3 linked regions of the Macaca fascicularis genome follow. The main gene of each other region encodes a partner of the protein of the gene in region 3 in a complex. Links are inferred from orthologs where the notes say so. Each region holds a gene or a part of one and is shown on either strand. Other genes may lie near its edges. The genes, in order: GTF2H4, GTF2A1 and POLR2E.

The links.
Region 1: POLR2E (region 3) and GTF2H4 share a complex: the UniProt entries of both Homo sapiens proteins name them as parts of the TBP-based Pol II pre-initiation complex. The link is inferred for Macaca fascicularis from reciprocal best matches to the Homo sapiens genes POLR2E and GTF2H4.
Region 2: POLR2E (region 3) and GTF2A1 share a complex: the UniProt entries of both Homo sapiens proteins name them as parts of the TBP-based Pol II pre-initiation complex. The link is inferred for Macaca fascicularis from reciprocal best matches to the Homo sapiens genes POLR2E and GTF2A1.

The regions. Positions count from the first base shown.
Region 1 is NC_088378.1:141,754,885-141,758,630, forward strand, and holds the start of GTF2H4 (general transcription factor IIH subunit 4), read right to left. Parts: upstream 2,710-3,746; 5' UTR 2,513-2,709; intron 2,190-2,512; 5' UTR 2,184-2,189; coding exon 2,079-2,183; intron 1,891-2,078; coding exon 1,751-1,890; intron 1,490-1,750; coding exon 1,385-1,489; intron 998-1,384; coding exon 866-997; intron 280-865; coding exon 183-279; intron 92-182; coding exon 3-91; intron 1-2. UniProt on the Homo sapiens protein: Component of the general transcription and DNA repair factor IIH (TFIIH) core complex, which is involved in general and transcription-coupled nucleotide excision repair (NER) of damaged DNA and, when complexed to CAK, in RNA transcription by RNA polymerase II.
Region 2 is NC_088381.1:149,163,748-149,167,393, forward strand, and holds part of GTF2A1 (transcription initiation factor IIA subunit 1), read right to left. Parts: intron 2,534-3,646; coding exon 2,400-2,533; intron 1-2,399. UniProt on the Homo sapiens protein: TFIIA is a component of the transcription machinery of RNA polymerase II and plays an important role in transcriptional activation. TFIIA in a complex with TBP mediates transcriptional activity.
Region 3 is NC_088393.1:1,666,064-1,669,809, forward strand, and holds the start of POLR2E (DNA-directed RNA polymerases I, II, and III subunit RPABC1), read right to left. Parts: upstream 2,681-3,746; 5' UTR 2,636-2,680; coding exon 2,579-2,635; intron 1,391-2,578; coding exon 1,216-1,390; intron 1-1,215. UniProt on the Homo sapiens protein: DNA-dependent RNA polymerase catalyzes the transcription of DNA into RNA using the four ribonucleoside triphosphates as substrates.

The sequences.
Region 1 (3,746 bases), on a different chromosome or scaffold from region 3:
ACCTCTTCATGAGCCCAGCCTGGCTGAGGAGCTGAGCCAAGTCCTGGCTGACAGCTGCACTGGGGGAGCCCACCATGAAGTGCAAGACCACCTGAAGAACAGAAGAGAACAGGGAGACCATGCCCCAAGGGCCATGGGAAGTAGAAGCACAAGCAGAGACACACACAGTCCCAAGTGCTTACCTCCCATCGCTCCTCGGCATACTTGTCAAGGGAGGGAACATCCCGGGCATGCTTGTCTGGTCCCAGCTGACTTGTGTCATCAGACCAGGCCTTCCCCCTAAGGCCAGGATGGGCCAAGAGTAAGGAACCCTGGCCAGGAGCTCACACCTGTAATCCCTGTACTTTGGGAGGCCAAGATGGGCGGATCACTTGAGGTCAGGAGTTTGAGACCAGACTGGCCAACATGGTGAAACCCCATCTCTACAAAAAATACAAAAAATTAGCTGGTGGTTGCCTGTAATCCCAGTCACTCAGGAGGCTGAGGCAGGAGAATCACTTGAACCCAGGAGGTGGAGGCTGCATTGAGCCAAGATCGCACCACTGCACTCTGCCTGGGTGACAGAGCGAGACTCTGTCTCAAAAACACACAAAACAAAACAACAAAAAAAGAGTAAGGAACCCTGTCTGTGTTCCTTGCCACCCTTCTGCCATCTTTCCACCCTTATCCTCAGGGGCCATGAGTAGGGGACATTTCCTACACCACACACTGCAGCTGATCCAACTTACTCCTAAAGGAGCTCCCAATGCGGAGACCACAAGGTTCCGGGGAGGCCCCCAGGAGCTCCCCCTCCCAAACTGTAATTAGCGGTTTAATAAGCAGCAGTTCCCCTGCCCTAGCTTAGGAAGAGAGAGAAGTGACATACCCACCCAGAAGGGCAATGCGGAGGTTCTGGCGGAAAATGGGGTTGAGGATGAGGCCCTGGAGCCCGCCTGGGAGCAGCTGGGTGTGCCAGATCCGGAGGCCGCTCAGCAGCCCTGTACTTTCCTCCTGAGCCCTGGAACAGAAGCAGAGAGGTGAGCAGGGTATTTGGAGAACAAAAAGGAGGACCATAAAAGCCACCTCTCTGCCTGTTCTGAACTTGCTGATTCTTGGAACACTGTTCCACAGAGTGATATTAGTATCTGAAGACAAATTCTTTACTGCATTACCTATCAGAGCCTTATTACAGATATCACACATAACTCTGTAAGAGGGAAGATACATCTGAAAGCAAGAGGTCAGCTGGGAAATAAAAAAAGGGAAAAGGCAGTATGCAGAGTTTCCCAAATGTATTTATTTTTAAGTTTTGTGATATACCTATTAATACGTCCTGGAAGTGCTCCAAGGAACAGTAGTTTGGGAAATGTAGCTGTTGAGAAATTTGTATCTGGCTGAGACTTACTTGCTGAATTCCTTCTTTACCCACAGGGCTACAGCAGCTTGTGGCAAAGGCTGCTCCAGAAAGAGCATCCGCATCACCCAGTTCTTAGCCAAGGATGGGAGCTCCCTGAACAGGGACAGAGGTCAAAGGTTAATATCAGAAGCTGCATTGTATCTGCATCTCTGCCCTCAATTAACTCTCAAACATCTCATCTCACTCCACCACAACTTTACCAGTCCTGCTGTTTTGGCCCCCACACTTTGGAGCAATTTCCAACCCGCACCCCCAGTCCCCACCCCTACCCCAGCCTGCTACACTTTTACCTGTTATATTTTATTCCAGTCCGCAGACCCCATTACATTTCCCTGCCATGAAGGGGATCCTCACCTGAAGACAGCCAGACAAGTGGCAGGGTGCCCATATAATCGGTCCAATACCCCAGGGCTCAGGCCCCCTAAGAATTCCTGCAGATTCCTGCATTGTAGGTGTACTCGGTTCAGTCCCCTTGAAGGGGTGCTCTCCATCACCTGAGGAATGCAAACATCAGAAGCGCACCCCCACCATCCATGCCAGTGTCACCCCTGACCTTTCTGATTCCAGATCCATCAGTCCCCACAATAACCCCACCTTTTCTGTGGCCTCCTTTCCCATGACACTCAATTCCTCTGGTTTCTCAAAAACCTGACCAATCTCCGTCCCTTTCTTGCCTCCTCACCCTGTTTCTGCCCTTCAACTCCAGTCTTTCCTCTGCTCCAAGTGACAGAATTGTCAACTGTCCTGTGTTTGCAAGATCATTTTGTATTTCAATGACTTGTCTCATCTTTGGCTAAACAGAGACAAAGAAAATTGAGCCCACACCTCTCTCTTCCATCCCTCCTGGTCAGATCAGTCTATAAGCTCCAAATCTACCCGAACTTCCTATCTTCTATCTCTTAGCCCACTTCTGCTAAGTACGGCGGTAACCTCTCCCCTCCATGCTTCCCAAATCTAAAGCCACCTCTTTTCCCTTCCCAAGTCTAGTTCACGCCATTCACCCTGACCCACGCCTTCCGATCTCCTAGCTTCTCCCTGCCTTCCTCCCACTCCTCGCCTCTCACTCACCTGTCTCTCTCATACCTCTGCCACTCCCGCCCTCCTAGGTCCCCTCACCACTCTGTCGATCCTCCTCGCGCACCCCGAGTCTCGGGCCGTCGCTTAATCGGAGCCAAAGTCTCGCATTGGCTCCTGGAAACTGAGGGAAAGATGGTGAAAAAATGCGAAGAAAAGATGGGGAAAGCGACGAAAGATTTCACAGGCAAGAGCCCAGAATGGAGAATTCAGAAGAGAAGGGAGGTAAGGGGAGGAGTGGAAAAGTGAAGAGGATTAGAATAGACGGTGCACACTCCCGGCGCGGGGGATGCTGGGAATTGGAGTCTTGTCTTTGCTCTCCTTAGAGCCGGCTGAAGTGCGTCTGACTACAAATCCCGAAAGGCACGGTGGGGAAGCCGAAAGGCAAGGAGCCGGCTTTTAATTGAGAGAGCGGGAGACACCAGAAGCCGGACCAGTTGGTTCTGCCAGAACCAACTCCGCCCACGCTGCTAACGGCGCATGTAACCGGATGGAGCGGGAGGCGGGTCGGGGAAAGTAGAAGTGCCTGGAGGGCTTCCGTGCGGAGGCGCGCTATGGCGACTTGGTGGTGAACCGATTAGACTTAGGGACCACAAAACTGGATTCCGTGAGCACAATTACTCCCCGTAAAATTGGGATAATGCACACTCCGGGCCGGACGCGGTGACTCACTGCTGTAATCCCTGCACTTTGGGAGGCCAAGGCGGGCGAATCACCCGAGGTCAGGAGTTCGAGACCAGCCTGGCCAATATGGTGAAATCCCGTCTTAACTAAAAATACAAAAATTAGCCGGGCGTGGTGGCGGGCACCTGTAATCCCAGCTACTCGGGAGGCTGAGGCAGGTGAATCGCTTGAACCCTAGAGGCGGAGGTTGCAGCGAGCCAAGACAATGCCCTTACACACCAGCCTGGGCGACAAGAGCGAAACTCCATCTCAAAAAAAAAAAAAAAAGAAAAAGGAAAAAGAAAGAAAGCGTACACACTCCGGAGAGTTTCCACGAGTTAACGATTAACATGATCCAGTGCACCTTACTTGGCGGTAAGTACTCAATAAATCTTAATTTCTTCTCAAATTTTTTTCTCCACCACTCCTCAAACCGTCTACTTAGAAAACCCAGATAAATTCAGTTTTTAGGACACTGACTGTTTGCTGTGATTTGATTTATGAACCTACTACAGAGAAAGGCAGAGGTCTTCACCCAAACCCAGAACTACACATTTCCCCAAATTCCTATAAGCAAATTTTGTTATTCCCATTTTATAGACTGGAAGACTGG
Region 2 (3,646 bases), on a different chromosome or scaffold from region 3:
AAAATATACACTAACAAATATTAACTATACATACTATACGTATTACAATAAAAGAGGAGGACTGGATGTTTGATGTTTGTTACTTGCCATTAGGTTCAAGGAATGCAAAAATAAGACACAGAATTTCCTTTAAAACGCTTACACATGGTGTAACAGCACAAAAGACAAAAAAAAAAAGGTAAAATAGACAAAGCACTAACAACTCAAACAGAGACAAGACGTAGTACAAATATGACATAGTGTTATGGGAACACAAGAGAGTGTACCAAATTCAACTTGGGGGACAAAGCATGATCAAATATTACTTATATTATTAGTAAATAATATTTGAGTTTCTGTTTGTGCTTAAAAGCAGCGATCCCCAACCCCTGTTAGAAACCGGGCTGCACAGCAGGAGGTGAGTGGTGGATGAGCCAGCATTACCATCTGAACTCTGCCTCCTGTCAGATCAGCGGCAGCATGGGATTCTCATAGGAGCAGGAACCCTACTGTGAACTGCACATGCAAGGATGGAGGTTGTGCACTCCTTACACCTGATGGTCTGAATTAAAATTTCATCCTGAACCCATCCCCGCTGCCCAGTACGTGGAAAAGCTGCCTTCCGCAAAACCAGTCCCTGGTGTCAAAAAGCTGGGGGACCGCTGCTTTAAGGAGATTAGCCAGGTTTTTCTATTTGTTTAGGGGAAGTGCAGGGAGTTGCCAGACGGCATTCTTAAGAGATGCGTAACATCAAGTGAAACCCAGAAGTGAAAGCAGTACATAATTTTGGAAAGATGTAAATAAACTGGATTAATATTACTGATCTGATCTTGTCTCTATCGTCATACTATTTTACTGACATTTAAAAAAGAGACAGACACATAAACAAATAAAGTACATAAGTTCCTCAAGAAAATAACCATTCCTCTTTCATTTTAGTGCTCACAGCACAAGAATATAACACAAGTAGATCCAAGTGTTTATTTTGATGTAAATGCAGCTAAAGAAAATACCTGGGAGTATGGCAAGAAATAAACCTGAAGACTTCAAAGAAACAAGATCCACAAAAAGATCTTATAAACCATGTTGAGTTGTTTAGGCTTTTCTCAGTAGGCAATGAAAAGTTGTTAAAAGGTTTTAAGATTTTTAGAAAGACAGGCCAGGCGCAGTGGCTCATGCCCATAATCCCAGCACTTTGGGAGGCCAAAGCAGGCAGATCACCTGAAGTCAGGAGTTCAAGGCCAGCCTAGCCACCATGGCGAAAGTCCGTCTCTATTAAAAATACAAAATTTAGCTGGGCGCAGTAGTGCGTGCCTATAATCCCAGCTACTCAGGAGGCTAAGCAGGAGAATCGCTTGAACCCAGGAGGCGGAAGTTGCAGTGAGATGAGATTGTGCCATTGCACTCCAGCTTACGCGACAGAGCGAGACTCTGTCTCAAAAAAAAAAAAAAAGATGGCTATAAATCAGCCAGGTTAGGAGGGCATAAGATGAGAGGCAGAGAAACCATTAAGGAGACAATACAGCATTTACTGACAAATTATGGACACTATGAACTAAGGAAATGAAAAGAGAGGCTGAGAAAAAAAAAAAAACAGTGTCAAACATATTAAGGGACTGCAACCATGGCAAAACTGCAGTTAAAGAAAAAAAAAGGCCGCGTACAGTGGCTCACGCCTGTAATTCCAGCACTTTGGGAGGCCAAGGCGGGTAGATCACAAGGTCAGGAGACCATCCTGGCTAACATGGTGAAACCCCGTCTCTACTAAAAATACAAAAAATTAACCGGGCGTGGTGGTGGGCACCTGTAGTCCCAGCTACTCGGGAGGCTGAGGCAGGAGAATGGCATGAACCCAGGAGGCAGATGCTGCAGTGAGCCAAGACTGCGCCACTGCACTCCAGCCTAGGTGAAAGAGCAAGACTCCATCTCAAAAAAAAAAAAAAAAAAGAAAAGAAAAGAAAAACTATTAACAAGAATTGGTAGGGCTTGATACCTTGGATATTAGAGGTAAGGAAAAGGGAGAATTCTACACAACCAGTTCCAGAAAACAGAGTAAGCACCATAAAACTAGAGTCATGTCTGCCTCATTCACTCCTAAATCTCATGACCCTTATAAATAGCCCGAGACTCAGTAACTGCTTATTGAATAAAGGCCGAATGAACAGCTTAGAAGGCTGGAAGGAGAGTGCTGCCACCTTTGAGGGGATGATGAAGGATGGGCACAGACAACAGTAATTTTTTAATACATGTTTAATACATGTTGAATCTAAGTTAAGCTGTATACAGGAGAAATTAGAAACAACTGGGTCTATAGCACTGAAGAACAGTCTTTTGTGCATATAAGAAGAGGGAAAGTACCCAGGGAATACATACAGAAGAAAACAGAACCCCATACTGATCATAATAGAAGATTATTTTACCTGCTGTATAACAGGAGCTTGTACTCCACCAGGCTGCATCTGTGGTATAACCTGTTGTTGTAGAACCACTGACTGCTGAGGCTGAAAGATATATTGGGCACCATTGGCTGCTCTGACCACCTGAAGAAGCTGGCCTAAAGCAAAAAGCATGCATTCCAAGTTATCATTTTAGCAGTGACCATCTCAAAAGAAATGAATTCATATTTACTTTCATACCACCAAAGGCACAAGAAATTATCAAGAAAACTGACAATTTTATTAAAGACTATCATTCATACACAGTATGCATAATCCTCCCCTTCTCTGACTTCTCGCCATGTTCAAATACATTCCTTAAAATGTTTTATTTTTTATATTTACATCCTCATTCAGCTATTTCCAACAAGGTTTTAACAACAGATTATGAGACTTGACTAAAGCTTACATTATCTTTGCTAACCTTAGGAGTCAAGAAAGAGCAATAAGATCAGACACTTTAGGAGCTGTTCATTTTTAAAGTTTTAAAGGAACAAAAGCTTAATAGCTCATTTAATATCTTGAACCAAACAAAGTACCACAGAACTTTGCTTCAAAATTGGTAAAAGCAATAAAAGTTCGCTAACCAGTTATCATCATACAATTCACACAGAATCAAATTCCCTCAATATGTTCCTTTAGATGACCCAGAATCTTGAATTGATTAAAAAGCAAATTACATCTTATTAAACATGTAGCAAGATAAGCCCCTAATTTCACAAATTTACAATAACAAAAATAACATACATACATAGAATAGAAAATAAATAATAACTATATAATCAAGATGACAGGGGACACTTAAAATCCATGTAAATAAATTTTTCAAGTACTAATATGCCAAAACACATGAGCTAGACATTGGTCTTTTGTCAATGAAGAGATACTATGTATAATAATAGCATACAATAAATTTGCTCTTAATATGCTCTAGGAATTACTTTCATATCACAAGTTCAAATAAGTTTAATACTCACTTGGCATGGTAAATGTGTTTAATAAAAAACTAAGTAAGCATTTTTATATAATCATACTTCAATAAGAGGGTTATCATGCACAGATCAAAGGTTCAAGTACAATCTGCATCTTCTTTACTGTATCCTCAACAACGATTACAGTTGTATGTGTTACAGCCCTCAAATAAAGTTATTTTAATAACCTAAACCAAATGGTAAAAGAAATATTAGTATTTTCTGTCCTTCAAAGAAGACAAAACCTAAGGGCTAGATAGT
Region 3 (3,746 bases):
TCCGTCTCAAAAAACCAAATAAACAAATAAATAAACACTACTAAAAAAAGTAAAAGTAGCCAGGTGAGATGGTGTATGCCTGTAAACCTAGCTTTTTGTGGGAGGCTGAGGTGGGAGGATTGCTTCAACCCAGGAGGTGGAGGTTGCAGTGAGCCGAGATTGCGCCACTGCACTCCAGCCTGGGCGACAGAGAGAGAGACTCAGCCTCAAAAAAAAAAGAACAAGAAGAAGACCGGGCGCGGTGGCTCACGCCTGTAATCCCAGCACTTTGGGAGGCCGAGGCAGGCAGATCACCTGAAGTCAGGAGTTTGAAAGCAGCCTGGCCAACATGGTGAAACCCCCTCTCTACCAAAAATACAAAAAAAAAAAAAAAAAAGCCAGGTATGGTGGTGGGTGCCTGCAGTCTCAGCTACTCAGGAAGCTGAGGCAGGAGAATTTTGAACTCAGGAGGTGGAGGCTGCAGCGAGCCGAAATGGCACCACTGCACTTCAGCCTGGGTGACAGAATGAGACTTTCAAAAAAAAAAAAAGCAGTAGCATCACCCGCTTGGCAGACACGCTCCGTCCACCCCACTGATTAATTCTGGGCACGCGGCTGTGTCCCTAGGCGCTGGTAGTCCCCCAACCACTGAGGGCGCTAGAGCCATCCTGGGGGGGCAGACAGGTGGGGAGACTTCCACGGTGCAGGTGCTGAAACCGAGGGTCCCAGGGGTCCCGGGAAAAGCGGCCTGAGCACAACCTCGAGGGATGAGTAGCGGACGCTGACAGGGCAGAGGCGGCATGGGGTGCAGAGGAATGGGCTGGGGCAGACAGGGGCCACAGCTCACAAGGAGGCTGCGCTGACCCACACGGGGCCTCCTGGGCCAGGCCAAGAAGTTGGAAGTGCACCCAACGGCCAGGATGAGGGAGCCAAGGAACACAGGTAGGGCAAAGGTCATGAGGGGCTGCGGGTGAGTAGGGAGGTCCATGGGACTCTCCTGGTTGGCAGGAAGAAAGGGGACCGATGAGAGGGAAACCAGAAAGAGGCTGCGCATGAGAGGGGTCAGAGGTCCACGGCATCGCCCACAGCAAGGAAGAGGAGGGGAAGTTTTCCTCCCAGATTGGGCAGAGGATCAAACGCTGGGCACGAGGCGGGAGGGAGGGGGTGCTAGCGGCCGGCTCCTCAGCAGGTGCTCGGGCGGCTCCACCAGAACTCCCCCGGGGACCCGCTGCTCACCTGGAAAGAACACAAACATCTGGTCGGTGGGGTCATCGTTGTGGGCCACCAGCACGGTGAGGTCAGTGCGCCGCGGCCGCCCCTCACTCGGCTTGTCTCCAAATTGGGCTTTGAACTCCTCCAGTGTCTGGTCAAGCTCGTCCTGGGTCACTAGGTAGCCACGGTCGTGGCACAGCTGCAGAGAGAAAGAACCAGCTGACCCCAGGGCAGAGACAGGAAGGCGGCCAGAGCTCGTGACCCAGAAGTCAGACCTGCGGCTGCTGCAGAGGACAGAGGTGAACAGCAAACGGAATGAACACTCGCTGTGTGCCCCATGACAGCCATCCTGGCCCCCACAGCCCCACACCACAGGATGGGACCAGCGTGATCCCGAGAGGCTCGCAGAGGTGTCCAGCCTTGACCAAGACCGTCCGTCTATCCAGCCTCACAGGAACCTGGCAGGGGGCAAAGCCCTCCAAACCACTTTGCAGAGCTACCCTAAAGACAGGGACAAAGACGGGGCGTGGGGGGTCACGTCCGCGACCCCAGAGCTCAGGGAGGCCGAGGCAGGAGGGCTGCTTGAGGCCAGGAGTTCAAGGATGCAGTGAGCTATGACTGCACCACTGCGCTGCAGCCTGGGCGACAGAGTGAGAGCTTGTCTCTTAAAAAAAAAAAAAAAAAAGACAGGGACCGAAACAGATGTGACTTCAGGCTGACAATGTTTGCGGCCCGGAGGAAGGAGAATCAGGCTGCGGGGGGCTGCGCTAAAGACAAGGGCATAGGGTGGGGAAGCAAGACAAAACAAAAGCTCCCAAACGGCCCCAACGGCTGAGGGAGGACCCTGAACCGCAGGCCCTCAGACATTTGCCCAGTTTCCAAACCGGAGTCGGCCCAGTGGCCTCCATCTGTCTCAGACCCCGAGGCACGGGTTCCGGGCTCCACGTCCCCATCGAAAGCCCCAGCTCGCCTGCTGCTTCCCAACCACCAACTCCGCCAGCCTCGGATGCTGAGACGCCCTGGGGTTCAGGGCGCAAGGACAAATGGCGACGCTGAATCACAGAGTGGGGCAGGGTCTGGGGGCGCCCCCCGTCCCCATTCGCACCTTCCTCCTCTCGCCGCCATGTGCGCCGCACCAGCCCAAGCCGCCCGCCCACCGCTAAGCCCCGCACCCAGACGTCTCGAAACCCCCTCCCTTCCCCGCTGCCGGCTCAGGTCGGGCCCAGCGCCTGGGATCCCCGGCGGCCTCGGGGTCTCCCGTGTCGGCCGGGCCCTCCGTCGCTGCTGCTGCTGCGACGGGAGTACGAGGAGACGCCGAGCTCGACCTCCCCTCGGGCCCCTGCACCTGCTGCTCGCGCCCCCGCCCCCAACACCACGCGCGGCTCACCTGCATGATGGTCTTGCGGATTTTCCAGAGCCGGTACGTCTCCTCCTCGTCGTCCATCGCCGCCACTCGCACCCGTTTTGCCTGCGAGAACCCGCGCGGACTGCGCCTGCGCCGACTCCCAATCAGGCCCCCTCCACGTAACCCCGCCCCGCGATGGGCTGTCGTCGGCGAACGCCTGAATGCAGCAACTTCCGGGATCGGCAGCGCCAAGGGCAGCCCGAGCCTTGCGAGAACGGCAGTTTGCTGCGCGAGACTCTCCCTCCGTAGTTCTCGTGTGTCTTTGGCTGCACGGCCTCTTGGGAGTTGTAGTTTCCGTTCAACTCCCACGTTGCGGGGACAGTTTAGAATCCCATAAGGCGGGGGCGAAGTGTGGGCGGGGAAACTGAGGCCTGGAATGGGTAAAGGGGCAGCTCGGCTCCTAGGGACGGTCGGGGAGCCTAGTGGGAACTCTATACATATTTGTGCATCAAACTGTACAGGGTTTCCTCTGTTGGCTCCAGGCCAGGTCAGGGTTAATGCCCTTGGGCCTCAGTTTCCCTACCTGTGCAATGGCAAAAAGTGTCCCTACTTTAGGCGGTTAACTGAGAGTCTTAGGTAGAGCTAGGCATATCTCTAGGTGCTTTTTAAGTCCCTTCACCTCTGTCCTCTCCCCTGAGTGCCAGCCTAGCCTGGGTATCTCCCCACCCCAGATCCGTCCTGTCTTTGCAAACCTCACCTCCCCAGATTCACGGAGGATCCCAGCCCAGCACTCGCTGTGTGAAGGCAATCAGTCACTGACTCAGTGACGCATTCATTAATTCAGCATTTACTCAGCAACCTACAGTGATGGTGAATAAAAACAGGCCAGGTATCCCTTGCATTCAGAGACAGGATTTAGTAAAATAACGTTACTGGGCGCAGTGGCTCATGCCTGTAATCCGAGCACTTTGGGAGGCTGAGGTGGGCAGATCACGAGATCAGGAGATCGAGACCATCCTGGCTAACACGGTGAAACCCCATCTCTACTAAAAATACAAAAAATTAGCTGGGCCAGGTGCCCGTAGTCTCAGCTACTCGGGAGGCTGACGCAGGAGAATCTCGTGAACCTGGAAGGGGGAGGTTGCAGTGAGCCGAGATCGCGCCACTGCATTCCAGCCTGGGCCACAGAGTGAGACTCTGTCTCAATAAA